Schizosaccharomyces pombe: one gene and its partners. Changing the gene in region 3 together with the main gene of any one other region gives a genetic interaction. Each region holds a gene or a part of one and is shown on either strand. Other genes may lie near its edges.

Evidence for each region.
Region 1: mutations in alp16 (region 3) and hmt2 together harm fitness more than expected from each alone (negative genetic interaction), as found in Schizosaccharomyces pombe (one large-scale study listed by BioGRID).
Region 2: mutations in alp16 (region 3) and ntp1 together harm fitness more than expected from each alone (negative genetic interaction), as found in Schizosaccharomyces pombe (one large-scale study listed by BioGRID).

Annotation. Positions count from the first base shown.
Region 1 is NC_003423.3:2,588,451-2,592,893, reverse strand, and holds hmt2 (sulfide-quinone oxidoreductase), read left to right. Parts: upstream 1-1,960; 5' UTR 1,961-2,414; coding exon 2,415-3,794; 3' UTR 3,795-3,890; downstream 3,891-4,443. Other genes in the region: DNA-directed RNA polymerase III complex subunit Rpc25, read left to right, coding at 48-134, 186-454, 589-636; tkt1 (transketolase), read right to left, coding at 4,316-4,443. UniProt on the Schizosaccharomyces pombe protein: Catalyzes the oxidation of hydrogen sulfide, with the help of a quinone.
Region 2 is NC_003423.3:204,574-210,194, forward strand, and holds ntp1 (alpha,alpha-trehalase Ntp1), read left to right. Parts: upstream 1-2,007; 5' UTR 2,008-2,504; coding exon 2,505-4,712; 3' UTR 4,713-5,068; downstream 5,069-5,621. Other genes in the region: protein wwm2, read left to right, coding at 76-897; protein Atg38, read left to right, coding at 5,229-5,252, 5,349-5,621.
Region 3 is NC_003421.2:431,718-436,800, reverse strand, and holds alp16 (gamma tubulin complex GCP6 subunit Alp16), read left to right. Parts: upstream 1-2,014; 5' UTR 2,015-2,126; coding exon 2,127-4,406; 3' UTR 4,407-4,537; downstream 4,538-5,083. Other genes in the region: ribosome biogenesis protein Rix1, read left to right, coding at 1-864. UniProt on the Schizosaccharomyces pombe protein: Component of the gamma tubule complex that is required for the regulation of both interphase microtubules and mitotic bipolar spindles.

The sequences.
Region 1 (4,443 bases), on a different chromosome or scaffold from region 3:
AGTGATTCAGTGGAAAAGAAAAACTTAAATGGTTCTAATTAGATTAGTGGTTTTCCGCCTTATAATCTTTCGTCCTTTTCGAGGTGAAGTAATGCTGGGAAAAATAAAATCGTGCAGTGAAGAAGGTATTCGGGGTATGTTAAATGTGTTTGTTTAAATGCTTGTTGTTAATGTTTTTCTCCCAGTAACTATTAGCTTTTTTGACGATATTTTCATTCCGAAAGATATGCTTTTCGATCCATGTGTCTTTCGTCCGGATGAGCGTGCCTGGGTATGGAAAATTGAAGGGGAGGACGGCTCAGAGGGAACCGAATTGTATTTTGACATTGATGAAGAAATACGCTTTCAAATAGAATCTGAGGACTTTGTTGATATTTCACCTAAGAGGAATAAAAATGCAACCGCGATTACAGGCACAGAAGCATTGGAATCGGTATCCCCATATACATTGATTGTAAGTTTTTTTTTTTATGTTTAGGGCGAAACTTGTGTCATTATTTATGAAGGGTGCACCATCTATTTGCTAGTATACAAGAAAATATTTTCTGCTTCTCTCAAATCGATAGAATTTACTAACTATATATTTAGGCTTCCTGTTCTCGTGATGGACTGGGCATTCCTGCTTGGTGGAAATGAGCTATTGGATTCGAATCAAAGTCAAACAAAATTTAAAAGCATCAATTAATCATTTACTCCAAATTGTATAAGTAGACTTTCATTCATGTTCTATTTTTCTTCATCTAATGCATCACCAAAATTTCCCAAAAATCACGTGGTCTAGAAAATGGTTGCAATTCTATTCTGTACATTCATCCCGTCTTATAAATTTCATTGCCGAAGGTTTTTGCACAAACCTTTTGGGGTTTTATTATTTCGTTGGAGATACCTGTGTTGTTTTTAGACATGTCCTACTTAAAGGTTGCTTTTAGTGAAAAAGGGTTATTTATAAATCAACTACTTCTTTTTTTTTTTTTTTTTTTAGCTTTTCTCTATTTAAAGGTATATTATTGTATCGAAAAATCAGTTTGTTTACATCTTTGCACAGCAACACATAATGGTTATGAAAACGGCGTTCTTCAAAATTTACCTTCTTGGATGATCATGGTATTTGCTAACAGGGGGCTACTTTAATAAAGGTACTTTCATGTCAAGCTTAAATTTAATCTGGTTAAAAGAGTCATATGTTCTAAAACTTTATATTCAATCTAACAACTGAAGATTCCGCACTGCGTAAAGGAATTTTTCAATGTTAAACAAACGATCCATGCTATGTATGATTTGATTGATTTTGGTATTGTGTATACTAATGTTTAGTAGTATTACCGAATATGGAAAATTTAATTAATTACACAAAAGAGCCGATTCATTTTATAGCATAATAGAATATCAGTCTACTTTTTATGAACAATGTTTGCTTCTTCAGCAAAGAATGTCCATCGCCAACCCACGTTACTCTTTAGTACAGCCGATTTTCGTTATATGTCAGAAAATAGCAACCTTAACATTTCAGCGCCTTGCTATTTGCTATTTGAAAATGACCAACAGCAATTTGACAAACTTCTAATTTTGTTGTATTTGTGCACAAATGCATGGACGTTATAAAGGATTCTTTCGGCTACTGTACTACTTTAGGGATAAACGAATATTTTTGCAAAATTAAAAATACACATACCCACAAAATCATTCACTTTCTTACTTCTAGTACTATTATTAATTTACGGAAACATGCATTAAGCAGCTTTTATGAGTTCCTTAAGCCTCGATAGCTTTTGCTTTACAAACTTTAATGAAACTTAGCAAATCCACGTGATTTGCCCCTAAAATGAATAAAGTTATGCCACATATTTCGGAATCACAAGCAAAGCGCAAGCACTTGACAAAATTGCGTAACCGATTACGCCTTCGGAGCTGACGTGAGTTATCGACTGAATATAAACACCTTATGCTGCTAATTCTGATTAGTCGACTGTATTTGCAAATATTTTCTACATAGGCTTGTCTTCCGTTAATTCTATTTTGTACACTACACCATTCTTTTTAGACGACAGCCGGTAGACTAAATTGTGCTTGTTTCTTGAACAATTAAAGTACATTGAAGAGTGCATATAAAAGAAATAAAAAATTTTTTTTTTTCTTTTACTTCGCTTGAGTCAAAACAGACTAGCACTTATTCTAGTACACTTGAAAGGTGGTGCTTGTTTGACTACATTCTTTGATATTGTAATCAAAAATTTTTTTTTTAAAAATTCCTTTTCTCCTGATTTACTTATTGAGGTGTTAAATTCTTGAAATTTTAAACGCGTTTTTTCCGCTCAACCTCTGTTTTCTTGTGTTTTATTAGGCTACTTTTTGCCTCCTTTTTTTTTCCTTTACCTTTAAAAAAACACTTCTCTTTTGCATTTTTGCAACTAAAAATGTTGACCTTAAACTCAACAATCAAGTCGGTCACCGGCTCATTTCAGTCCGCTTCCATGTTGGCTCGATTCGCCTCTACCCATCACAAGGTTTTAGTAGTTGGTGGTGGATCCGCTGGTATATCCGTCGCCCATCAAATTTACAACAAGTTTTCTAAATACCGCTTTGCCAATGACCAAGGCAAAGATACATCCCTCAAACCCGGTGAAATTGGTATTGTGGATGGTGCCAAGTATCATTATTACCAACCTGGTTGGACTTTGACTGGTGCTGGATTGAGTTCTGTTGCTAAGACCAGACGAGAATTGGCTAGCCTGGTTCCTGCTGACAAATTTAAACTCCATCCTGAATTTGTTAAATCCTTACATCCTCGTGAAAACAAAATAGTTACTCAAAGTGGTCAAGAAATTAGCTATGATTATTTGGTTATGGCAGCTGGTATTTATACTGACTTTGGCAGAATCAAGGGTTTAACTGAGGCTTTGGATGACCCCAACACCCCTGTAGTTACTATCTATTCAGAAAAATATGCTGACGCTGTTTATCCTTGGATTGAAAAAACCAAGTCTGGAAATGCCATTTTTACTCAACCCAGCGGTGTCTTGAAGTGTGCCGGCGCTCCACAAAAGATTATGTGGATGGCTGAAGATTATTGGCGTCGTCATAAAGTTCGTTCCAATATTGATGTATCCTTCTACACTGGTATGCCTACTCTTTTCTCGGTTAAGCGCTATTCTGATGCCCTTCTTCGCCAAAATGAGCAATTACATCGCAATGTCAAGATTAATTATAAAGATGAGCTTGTTGAAGTTAAGGGATCTGAACGTAAAGCCGTATTTAAGAATTTAAACGATGGCTCTCTCTTCGAGCGTCCTTTTGATCTTTTGCATGCCGTCCCCTCTATGCGTTCTCATGAGTTTATCGCAAAGAGTGATTTGGCTGATAAATCTGGTTTTGTTGCTGTTGATCAATCTACTACACAATCGACCAAGTTCCCCAATGTTTTCGCTATCGGTGATTGCAGTGGTTTGCCAACTAGTAAGACTTACGCTGCCATTACTGCACAAGCTCCTGTTATGGTCCACAATCTTTGGAGTTTCGTTAATGGAAAGAATTTAACTGCATCATACAATGGTTACACTTCATGCCCGCTACTCACTGGCTATGGTAAGCTTATCTTGGCCGAATTCTTGTACAAACAAGAACCTAAAGAATCTTTCGGTCGCTTTTCTCGTTTCCTTGACCAAACTGTACCTCGTCGCATGTTTTATCACCTTAAGAAGGACTTCTTTCCTTTTGTTTACTGGAATTTCGCCGTCCGCAATGGTAAGTGGTATGGCAGCAGAGGTTTGATTCCTCCTCACTTTCCTGTTAATTAAAGATTCAATCATCTTTCTTGCGTAAAATAATGCAATCTGCTAGGCATGATTTAGTAGCAACCCTTATATAATTGAATGTTACCCCCTTTCCTTACCATACCTTTACTAGGTTTATCTTTGATTAGAAAAACAGTGTTGATTATTAAGTACTCTAAAGTTATGTACGTCTGTGAATGTTTGAATAAAGTTATTAAATAAATATCAACTTTTTACTTCTAATTTTAAATATGAATAAAAATAGTTTGTAATACATCAACTATAAACGCCAGTAAACTGCACTTACATTGACTAAAGTAGATGCAAAATTATTGTAATACTCTACTCACAATTCCAACTATATCGTCGAATATCATATATACAAAAATATATATATTTATGCATTCATATTTTGCTCACATTTATAGACTTACATTCAAATAAAGACAAAACACAATTCACTCATAACTACTTCCTTCCGCACGAATTGAATTCTAAGCCAGCAAATCAATCCTAAAAGAATCTAGAGAAAAAATGCTACTAAATTAGAAAGCACGGCGGACAGGGGAACGAATATAAGGGATATCCTTGTAAGCATCAACAGTCTTTTTGGCACGTTGAGCAACACCAGAGGTGGTGAAATGGAATTTCTCGTATAATTTGGGAGCAGGGC
Region 2 (5,621 bases), on a different chromosome or scaffold from region 3:
TAGAATCTTTCTAAGCCTCTATATCGTTTATATAGGTTTTTACTCTGTGTCTTTACAGAATTAATCATATAAAAAATGTCTGTCTATCAAACTCGTGAAGGTTTGCCCAGTGGATGGGTTGCTCAATGGGATGCTGAATATGGAACATACTTTTATGTTAACGAGTCAGCTCAAAATCCACAGCCCCAATGGGAACCACCAGTCGAAAATCTGAAACTTGCTCCTCCTCCAGGAGCCACAAGCGTTAATACAGCTGTGTATAATAACAATAACAATACTTCTGCTGCGAATACGAATGCTGCATACAATGCTAATACTGCTGCAAATGCCAATGCTAACACTGCCACGACTACCAATGCTGCCGCTACTACCAGCGCTGCATATAACCCCAATGCCCCTGCCAATACCAATGCTGCATACTATCCTAATGCTGCTGCCACTACCACTACCAATGCAGATGGTAGTGATAAAGGGCTGTTCAGTGGGCTTACCTCTTCTAATGGCTACACCACTGGCAACTCTTACAGTAGACCAAGCTACGTTGCTCCTGTCGCTGCAGGGTTAGGTGGATTGGCCTTAGGTGGCCTGGCTTCACACGCACTTGGCAATCTCTTTCACCATCGTGGTCATAACGGTGGTGGTTTCGGAGGTTTTGGTGGTGGTTCTGGCGGTCCTCCTCCTGGTCCTGGTGGATTTGGAGGCTTTGGAGGCTTTGGAGGTGAAGGCCATCATCATGGTGGTCACGGTGGCTTTGGAGGCGGCCCTGGAGGTTTTGAGGGCGGTCCTGGTGGCTTCGGAGGCGGTCCTGGCGGCTTTGGAGGCGGTCTTGGAGGTTTTGGAGGAGGCCCCGGAGGCTTTGGGGGTGGTCCTGGAGGTCATGGCGGTCCTGGTTGGTGAGACTGAGAAACATGGAACTAAATATTTGTTTATGAGCTTTTTATGTGAGTATATTGCGCAATAGATATTAAGTCGATACCGTTAAAAAATTTTTTATGTTTATACTCAGTTATTTTGCTAAAGTGAAATTGAATTTTATTAAGGTAGGACTTTCTGAAAGTATTAAGTAGAGCTGGGCAATTTTAGAAGTGCACATAGAAAAGCTCGCAAGCAAGCAATTTTGATATCCCTGTGTTGTTGTTTTTTAGGTTTATGTAGGAATGATTCAATGCAACAGTTTAGATATAGGTAAACATAAGTGCTGTATCTATAGCTGTGGAAACAATTCATGCTTGTTCATACGTAACATTTTATGCGCAAGTATTAAAAGATTCTAAAAAATATCTATTATGTTCATTATCTCGCACACGTCAAACCCAGTCTACTTCGAAATGCGTACGTGTATACTTTGGCTGTATACAATCTGAAATTTGAAATTTAAAGCTGTCAGATTAGCTTCTATTAATATTGCGTAAATCGGTTAGTTCAGAGTCTTTTATCCCAATACTTCGTCAGATTTGTATACTTTCTTCATTAAAAGTACATGTTTATCTTAACATAGAAGAGGTAAGTACCGCTAATTAACCGAATTGCAACTTGTAATTATAACAGCCAAATCATTTCAAACCAGAAGAGTGCAAGTTTAAAAAAAAAACCGATAGAACAACATACAGTGCCGCATTCAAACTACACATACATAGGGTTTCATCTCGTGGTATATAACGAGTCAATAGAGCATTCTCAATGTTAAAAAATACGGAATATTGTGGTTCTTTACAAAACTCATTACCTTCTCAATAGTACCACTAAAATCAGTGATAACTGTTTCAGAGGCGTCCGTATATACCTTTTTTACTGTTGTATCTTAATTAGCCAATTTTCTCGTATCTTCTTTCTATGTTTCAGCTCATTGTTTTGATTATAGCGATGGTGTTCACCGTTGCTGCTATCCTATTGCCGCATCCTTAAACTTCCATAAGCTCTATAGGTGTCAGGTAGACTACGTCATTGAGTAACGAACTACATCAGCGTAAATTTGGTTTAGAATGTATGAGAACTTAGCAACTCCAAACCACAAATATCAACGACAGGATTATAGACTGATACATAGAAGAAACTAGCAGTTCTTTTAAAATTTTTTTAGGATTTAACGATTTATACCTATTGGGGTACTAAGAATTTGGTAGAGTTACTCAAATTCAGTTAAAGACACGGATTTTCCTTATACGTAATTAGTGTCGATTTTCTGAAATCTTGCTTGCTATTTTATAGCTTAGAACGAAAAAGCAGGAATTTGTTTTGTTTTGTTTTTTTAAAAAAAAAAACACTTTATCTTGTGAATTGCTTTGGAAAGTGAGCGTATTCCTCGTAGGAGCTTTTGAATTTTTGATATATCGTTAGCTTGTAGTGAAGGAAACGGAAGCCATCAACGGAATAACCTTGTTCTCCATCATTTGCTATCATTCGTGAATAGGAACAATAAAGAGAAAAAAAATACATTTTTAAAGAAGTTTATATATACATTGATCTAATAGTGAAAATATTTAACACGAATAAGTTTGTTTCATATGCCTTCGAAATTTTCCTCTAAATACGTGGATACAGAAGCCATTTCAAATGATGATGACAATCCCTTTGCAACCGCTAAGAGTTATTACTCCAAGGATACAGACTTGTCGACTCGGGTAAGTGCTGGCCGTCCTCGCACCTTATCCACTTCGATGGAGGCATCCGCCGCACCAACTATACCAGAATTAAAGAATTTACGTCGACGTGGAAGTCTTGATGAACATAAACAACCACGAAAATTTCTTGTTGATGTTGATAAGACATTGAATGCACTTTTGGAATCTGAAGACACCGACCGGAACATGCAAATCACCATCGAGGATACCGGACCTAAAGTTGTTTCCCTTGGCAGCGCTAGCTCGGGTGGATATCGCTTGTATGAGCTTCGCGGCACATATCAATTGTCAAATTTACTTCAGGAATTGACCTTGGCAAAGGATTATGGACGTCGATATATTTTACTTGATGAGCGAAGACTTAATGAAAACCCTGTGAACCGACTTTCTAGACTCATCAAAGGTACCTTTTGGGATGCCCTTACTCGAAGAATCGATGCCAGTGTTTTGGATGTTATTTGCCGTGATACCAAAGACCGATCAGGATCACACGTGAATCGAATTTATGTTCCTAAAGCCGAACAAGAGATGTATGAATACTATGTTCGCGCTGCTAAGGAAAGGCCTTACTTGAATTTACAGGTCGAATATCTGCCGGAAGAGATTACTCCAGAATGGGTGAGAGATGTAAATGATAAGCCAGGGTTACTTGCACTTGCAATGGAAAAATACCAAGATGATGAAGGCAATACACATCTTCGAGGTGTGCCATTTGTCGTTCCTGGTGGCCGGTTTAATGAACTGTACGGCTGGGACTCTTACTTTGAATCACTGGGTTTGCTTGTTGACGATCGGGTTGACTTGGCGAAAGGTATGGTGGAGAATTTTATTTTTGAAATTACCTATTACGGTAAGATCTTGAATGCCAACCGCACTTATTATCTTCTTCGCTCCCAGCCTCCATTTTTGACCGATATGGCCCTTCGAGTTTATGAACGTATAAAAAACGAAGAAGGATCTTTAGACTTTTTGCATCGGGCCTTTTCTGCGACTATAAAAGAATATCACACTGTTTGGACTGCCACTCCACGACTGGATCCCAAAACTGGTCTTTCCCGCTATCGCCCTGGAGGACTCGGTATTCCTCCGGAAACTGAAGCTTCTCATTTTGAGCATTTGCTTCGTCCTTACATGGAGAAGTATCATATGACTCTTGAGGAGTTTACTCATGCATACAATTACCAACAAATTCATGAACCCGCGTTGGATGAGTATTTCGTGCACGACCGCGCAGTTCGCGAAAGCGGGCATGATACTACTTATCGGTTGGAAAAAGTTTGTGCTGACTTGGCCACCGTGGATCTGAACTCGTTGCTATACAAATATGAAACCGACATCTCACATGTGATTTTAGAATATTTCGATGACAAGTTTGTACTTCCAAACGGAACTATAGAAACTTCTGCCATTTGGGATCGTCGTGCTCGTGCTCGTCGTGCTGCAATGGAAAAGTATCTTTGGTCAGAAGCTGATTCGATGTGGTATGATTACAACACGAAGTTAGAAACGAAGAGTACTTATGAAAGTGCTACTGCTTTCTGGGCCTTGTGGGCCGGTGTGGCAACTCCCCGTCAAGCCGCAAAATTTGTTGATGTTAGTCTTCCCAAGTTTGAAGTTGCTGGAGGTATAGTTGCTGGTACAAAGAGAAGCTTGGGTAAAGTGGGTCTTGATAATCCCAGCCGTCAATGGGATTATCCTAATGGCTGGAGCCCTCAGCAGATTTTAGCTTGGTATGGATTGATTCGATACGGATATGAAGAGGAGACTCGTAGACTTGTATATCGTTGGCTATATACTATTACTAAATCGTTTGTTGATTTTAATGGTATTGTTGTTGAAAAATATGATTTGACCAGACCAGTTGATCCACATCGTGTTGAAGCTGAGTATGGTAATCAGGGTGTCAATATCAAAGGCGTTGCTCGCGAAGGTTTTGGATGGGTTAATGCCAGTTACGAAGTCGGCCTTACATTCTGTAATTCGCATATGCGTCGGGCTCTTGGTGCTTGTACGACTCCTGATGTTTTCTTTGCCGGCATCAAGGAAGAATCTCTTCCTGCTTTCGAAAACCTTTCCATTCATAAAAATTAAGTTATCGTTTGCTTGAAAAAAATAATCGACTTTGTCTACTTTTTTAGTTGCCTTTAGCTTTATTCTCTTATTATGTTATTTTGGTTATCGACCGGTTAAAACCCATTGTTATGTTACATGTTATACCTTCCATTAAATCCTTCTACTATGAAGGTTCTATTTGGCGAATATTCCCTTACGAAACAATAGTTAATTCTATTTAAATTTATGAGTAAAGCTTATCACCAGCGATATTATTACTTTTTTACTTAAAAGAAAGAAGTAGTAAATGAATTTTTTACCTTACGATTCAATTCTAATTTATAATTTCCATGATAGTACTGTTGTTGCAGTTTTAGTCCGAATATAACTCTAATGTTTAATTTGGTGTCTATCACTTTATTAGTTTTTTTTTTGAAGGAATTGTCTTCTAGAAACTTATTTTGAGTTAATGTACCGTATTATGTCGTTCACATTTGTAGACAACATAAGTTGGCCACTTCCTTACACAACAACAGTATATTATTAAAATGTGTTATGGTTCGATATTCATTAAGAAAGGTAAGAGATGCTTAAAGAGATAAGGATATGAGTAAATTTAGTGTTTGAAGTTCGTAATTATCGTTCGCTTTTGAATGTGAATGTTAACAAAATTAGGCGCATGAATACGCCCGAGATGGGGAAAATCAGGAAGTTTTGGGAGAAATTTCACAAGCAATTATGTATTATGGATTAGCAAAAAGTCAGTTTGAAAAGATATGTCAGAACACAGCTCAGCCTCTTATTAAAAGATGCGCAAATAACCAAATCGAAGAGTTGATGGTTCGTATACGCGAGTTACGAGAATCATTGCCAAACAAACAAACACCAATATCAATGTCAATGTCTACGAGATTATCACCTATGTATACTTCTTCATTAACTCCACGA
Region 3 (5,083 bases):
CATGCAATACGTATAATTTCTGGTCCATTAGGGCTTGTACATCCAGATCCTCTGGTCGCTTCACACGCAAGGTCATCGATGCAAACAATAGAATCGCTGATTCATCCTAGGTTCCCACCTTTGCAAAAACATCTTTCACCAAGCGAATTTGAAAATACGTTTGAGTCAAGATTTGAGCCTGTTTCTCTTGAAAACCAATCGCATATTTCTCCACCCCAGGTGGATTCTCAATCAGAGTATAAAGAAAGTAGTATTTTGGCTCCATCAAATCCTCCCTTTGAAACAGAGTCGATTACAGATTCCACTGAAATTGAAGGGATCAAAGAGTCTTTTGCATCTACAGATACAGGCTTACAGAATAATTCTACAGCTACCTCCGAGAACAAAAGAAGCGAATCAGAGCTGACTATGTCTAATGTTCTTTCTAATGAGGGTGACAGAAATGAAGAAGGTAGTGAAATCAACTCTTCTCAACCTTCAACTATTAATCACGGGACTGATCACATTAACATTGTTTCGGAAAACAAGGAAACAACTGTTTCACTGTTGCATGGAGATGTTGAGGTTGAGGAGACTACAAATGTTGCATTAAACAATTCTCAGGACACTGAAACCAAATTTACTGCTATAGACGTTGACTTTGTTGACCGACCTACTAGTGTAGTTTCAAGCCAAATTGAAAACATAAATGGTGATGAAAATGGAAACACAACTTCTTCAGTCGTCGAAACTTTTGAAAAAACAACGGATGTCGTAGATGAGAAAACGACTTCTATTAATGTGGAAGGAAACGGAGAAGATGATGAGGAGGAAGACAATATCTCTTTGCCAAGTATAAACTTGGAATCTGATAGTGATAGTTAGTCTTAATTTATAAAAAGGATTTGGGGGTACTGAATGTTTATTTTAAATTCTATTTCTAGATAAGTAGGTTGTCATTTAATCCAAGCTGATTTTTATAAAGTCCTGTATGTATTATCGTCATGGCAAAAAAGGTACATCAAGCTGATATTTGGAGGTTAAAATCAATTGATTTTGACCTCCAGAATACATTGCTTATGTGTTCTCCTTTTTAATTAGCTAAATTTTCCAGTAATACAAAGTACAAAGTCTTGTGTTATCCGCAAAAATTTTTAATTAATCATTTTTATACCATTGGTGTCACAAAAATCCCGATTATTTTAGAGTTAGACTGTCGTTTATGTTTTTTGAGAAAGAATTAAAACAACTTATCTAGTCTAGTGTTTAAAAGAATTTTATACTGTTTCATTAAGAATAATGAAGATATCCCTTTCCAAAGGCAAAAGAAAAGTCGATAACTATATAATGCAAGCTTCTAAACAAACTTGAATTAGTGATTGCAACATTTCTTTTGCCAACAATATTTAAATCCTTCATTGCTTGACACATGGTTTTATGAGAAAAATTAAGAAAGAACATTAAGTACTTCAAATAAATTTGTTGAAGGATCCAAAATTCTCCAAATAGACTTTTTTTATATGAAGATACCATTCATTCAGCTTTGACTCGCATGCGAGCTCTCTGGACAATAAACGATCAAGCCAGCGAGGTATACTGTAACCATAATATCACGAATAGTACAATAAACTTTTTTTTAAAAAAATCTAAATGTACTAACCAGAGAAGCATAAAAGAGCTCTTATAGTTCCATAAAGGATACGTTTTATCCACATAGCACTCTCTTAAAATTAAATGCTGGAATGTCGTTTTGGATAGATTATGCAATTGTGCAATAGTAATTCCTTAACAACTGATAGTTTTTGTTCAATTTATCATTCTGTTTTATTCATCCTGGATACCTTTAACTCCATGTCAGTATTTTCTGTTGTACGGCCACGAGAGTACGGATTTTTGAATTGGTTTCAATGTTAGGATCAATTACTAACGTTCCATTTCTTAGTTTAAGAGACGCATACTTCATTCACATCTTCTAATCCTGACTGTTCTAGATAAGAAGTCATCTTAATTCGCTACGTTAACAACATTATACATTAACTACACACATATTGCCAAATTTTAGTAATTCATAACAAGAGTGTTTTCCAGTAAAGGAGTTGGATCTTGAAATGTACCACTAAAATAGATGATTTTGAAATAAAAATGGAATGGATGGAATTATGAAAAACGACTTGTTATGGTTCGGCAACCACGTTTTCGACCTTACGCCAAATTCATTTGATTCTGATTTTGTCGAGCAGCTTTCGAAATTTGAGGGAAAAGAAGGATTGAAGAGGAAGTTATTTGACTCCTCGGAATACTTTCAAAACTTTTCATTTCAAGTAAACGATGATCTGTTGGGAAAAGATGTCATTCTCGATATTTCAAATCAACAACTAACACCCGCTGTGCCTGGGTGTGAGACATCATCCAATTCCAAACTCATAAGCGCATCTAAGGAAATTACTTCAGAAAGAAAAAGAGCTAAATCCTCAGTGTCCCCCTCTTATCTTACAGATTCATCACCCAGCGATTTATCTGTCGAAAACAAAGTTCTGCTAACATGCCCTAGCTGGGATGGAGAAAATTTTAAAAATTTAGAAGCTAGATCTCCATTCATATCTGAAGCGCCTTCTCGGGTATATGATTATTTTCTTCATAATCAGGATTGGAGTCCGAAACCATTATTTTCTGCACTGCAAGTTTACCCTTTAGCAACTATTTTCAATTGCGTGGCTGGTTTACCACAAGGATTTGAAAGCACAGTGTTTCCATGGAACAAAACCTCAAGCACATTTGAACTCGATCCGACCATCTCCGTTTCAGGAATGTCCGATGAATGTTTTGCTAGTATCGTCCAGAAATTTTCTGCAATTGGGGGTTTAATAAAAAAAGCTTTAAATGAATTCTCTTTATACAAGACCAACATTTCTTTTTATTTATCAAATTTCATTGTGAATGGTGTCTTGCAGTATCGAAAGGAGTTTCAGCGTTGGCTTCGTCTTTATGAGTTCCGTAGATTCGGTCTGATTGGTTTAAGTAACTTTGTTAATTCTTTTTCTTCATTCTTTGAGTTAATTTCACACTTCTTAATAAAATCGGCTCAAAACCTAAAAGGAGATTCCTTGTTAGATTTTCTTTTTGATTATGCGCGTTCATGTCAGAATACCATATCTTACCCCATTGCCCTACAGTGCTTGATATATTGCTCAAATCCCTACTTCAAAAGGCTTGAGCTTGCTTTAAAAGTTTCTTGTGCGTATGGTCACATTGATTCTTCATTGTTCTTATCACTTCCCCGTTTTTTTCCTTCTGAACTTTGTGTAAGCATTGAACAGTGTATTCAATTTTTGTCATTAATAAGGGAACAAAAAGAAATATTTAATAAAAACAACAAAGAATTTATTAACCCTTTGAACATTCGGTTCGCATATTCTTTCAACGACATAAATCAAGCTTGTGTAATAGAGGAGCGCTGCAACTTTTCTTCGCTTTCTTTTGGTAATTTGGAACAAACTTCCGTCAATAATGACAGTGAAGAATTTGAAACGCTGCTTGCTAAAATGAACATGACTCCAGATTTCAACGATAATTTATTACAACTTAAATTTACAGATGATGTGCGCAACGTCTGTCCGCTTAACTTGAATGTTTGCTGCTGTATTGCTGAGCCAATACAATCTTTTATTCTCAGTTTCTTACGTTCGACATATAAAGTTTTAAAAAACGATTTTCAGGTGTTTGATCTTTTAAATTTTTTTCATTCCACTTTTCTTTTTCAAAATTATGAATTCTCTGATAATGTCATTTCTCTGTTAAAATCAAGAAGGCTTGATAAATCTGACCGTAATGAGTTGGCTGAGGACTTGAACTCTGATGACAGATATAATTTTATTTCTCGATTGAAAAAATTCATTTTTATGGAAAAAGAAAAAAATGGGTTGAGCAGGTCTTTATCTAAGAGTATAACTTTTACATTGGATTCTGCGAGCGTTAGTGAATTTGAGGATGTGTACCCTGATTTACAATTCCAATGCCAAGTAATAGGTGCTTTACGGATATTATTTACTGATAACTCTTTAAATTATTATTCGAAAACTTTTTCTTACGTTTTACATCTCTTTCAAGCTCAATCAGACTTTGAATCATCTGTCGAATTGAAAGATCGTTCTATAGTAACAAAAACAACTATTATGTCATGGTCTAAGTATCAAGGCACGAAAGAATCTCTTTTTCAGTTTCTTTCAATATACATTCCAGAGTGTATGTTGCCTTTTACGAAATTACTGAAATCCATATATTCTCCTGACTGTCCTACGAACATACAAAATTCTGCAATTAAAAATGCGGCTTCAGTTCACGAGCAGTGCACTAAAGCAATTTATCAAAAGGTCAAAGAGTTGTTTGATACCATGAAACTCTGGGAGTCATCCATCAAAGTGTCATAACAAAAAACCAGATCCGGATGACGGATTTTTACGAGTGTAAACATGCTAATCTCACCTTTAAGTTTGAAGAATATACGATTTTACAGCAGAAAAAAATTTATAAGCACAACACTTACAGAAAATTCCTTGCATAAAATGATAAAGAATGTAAAGAAGTATTTGGATAAATTCATGAGTAAAGTATTTACTAGAGATATATCTTAATCTAAGTTTAAACAACCTGTGCCAAACAAAAGGAAATTAATTTAACAAAGAAAGGGATGAAGAATTAAAAGGAATCAAAATAGAAATGAACAGTCAAGCTTATGATTGATTGTTTGAAGATCAAACATATCAAGGTAAAGTGCCATGATCACAGGAAAATACGCAATGTAGTTTAGTAAGTTATTTTGGTGCAAAAATATATGCGCTTTAATGGTGGAACATACCAGTATGTCCCACTTAATTTGCTCGTTCAAAAAATGCATGCAAAAAAAAAAAAAAAGATACAAATCTGTAAATACCTCACGCAAATATAAGAGTGCAAATAAAGACATGTTGAGAAAAGAGTAGAGGCAAAAGCCAAAAGATAAAAATCTTACTGGACGCCTATCACTTTGGTGAAGTTGAGGGTAAACGGACAAGGAATGCATGAAAAAGGAAGGAGGTAAGTGATAATTTAATGTTAGCAAGGAAGA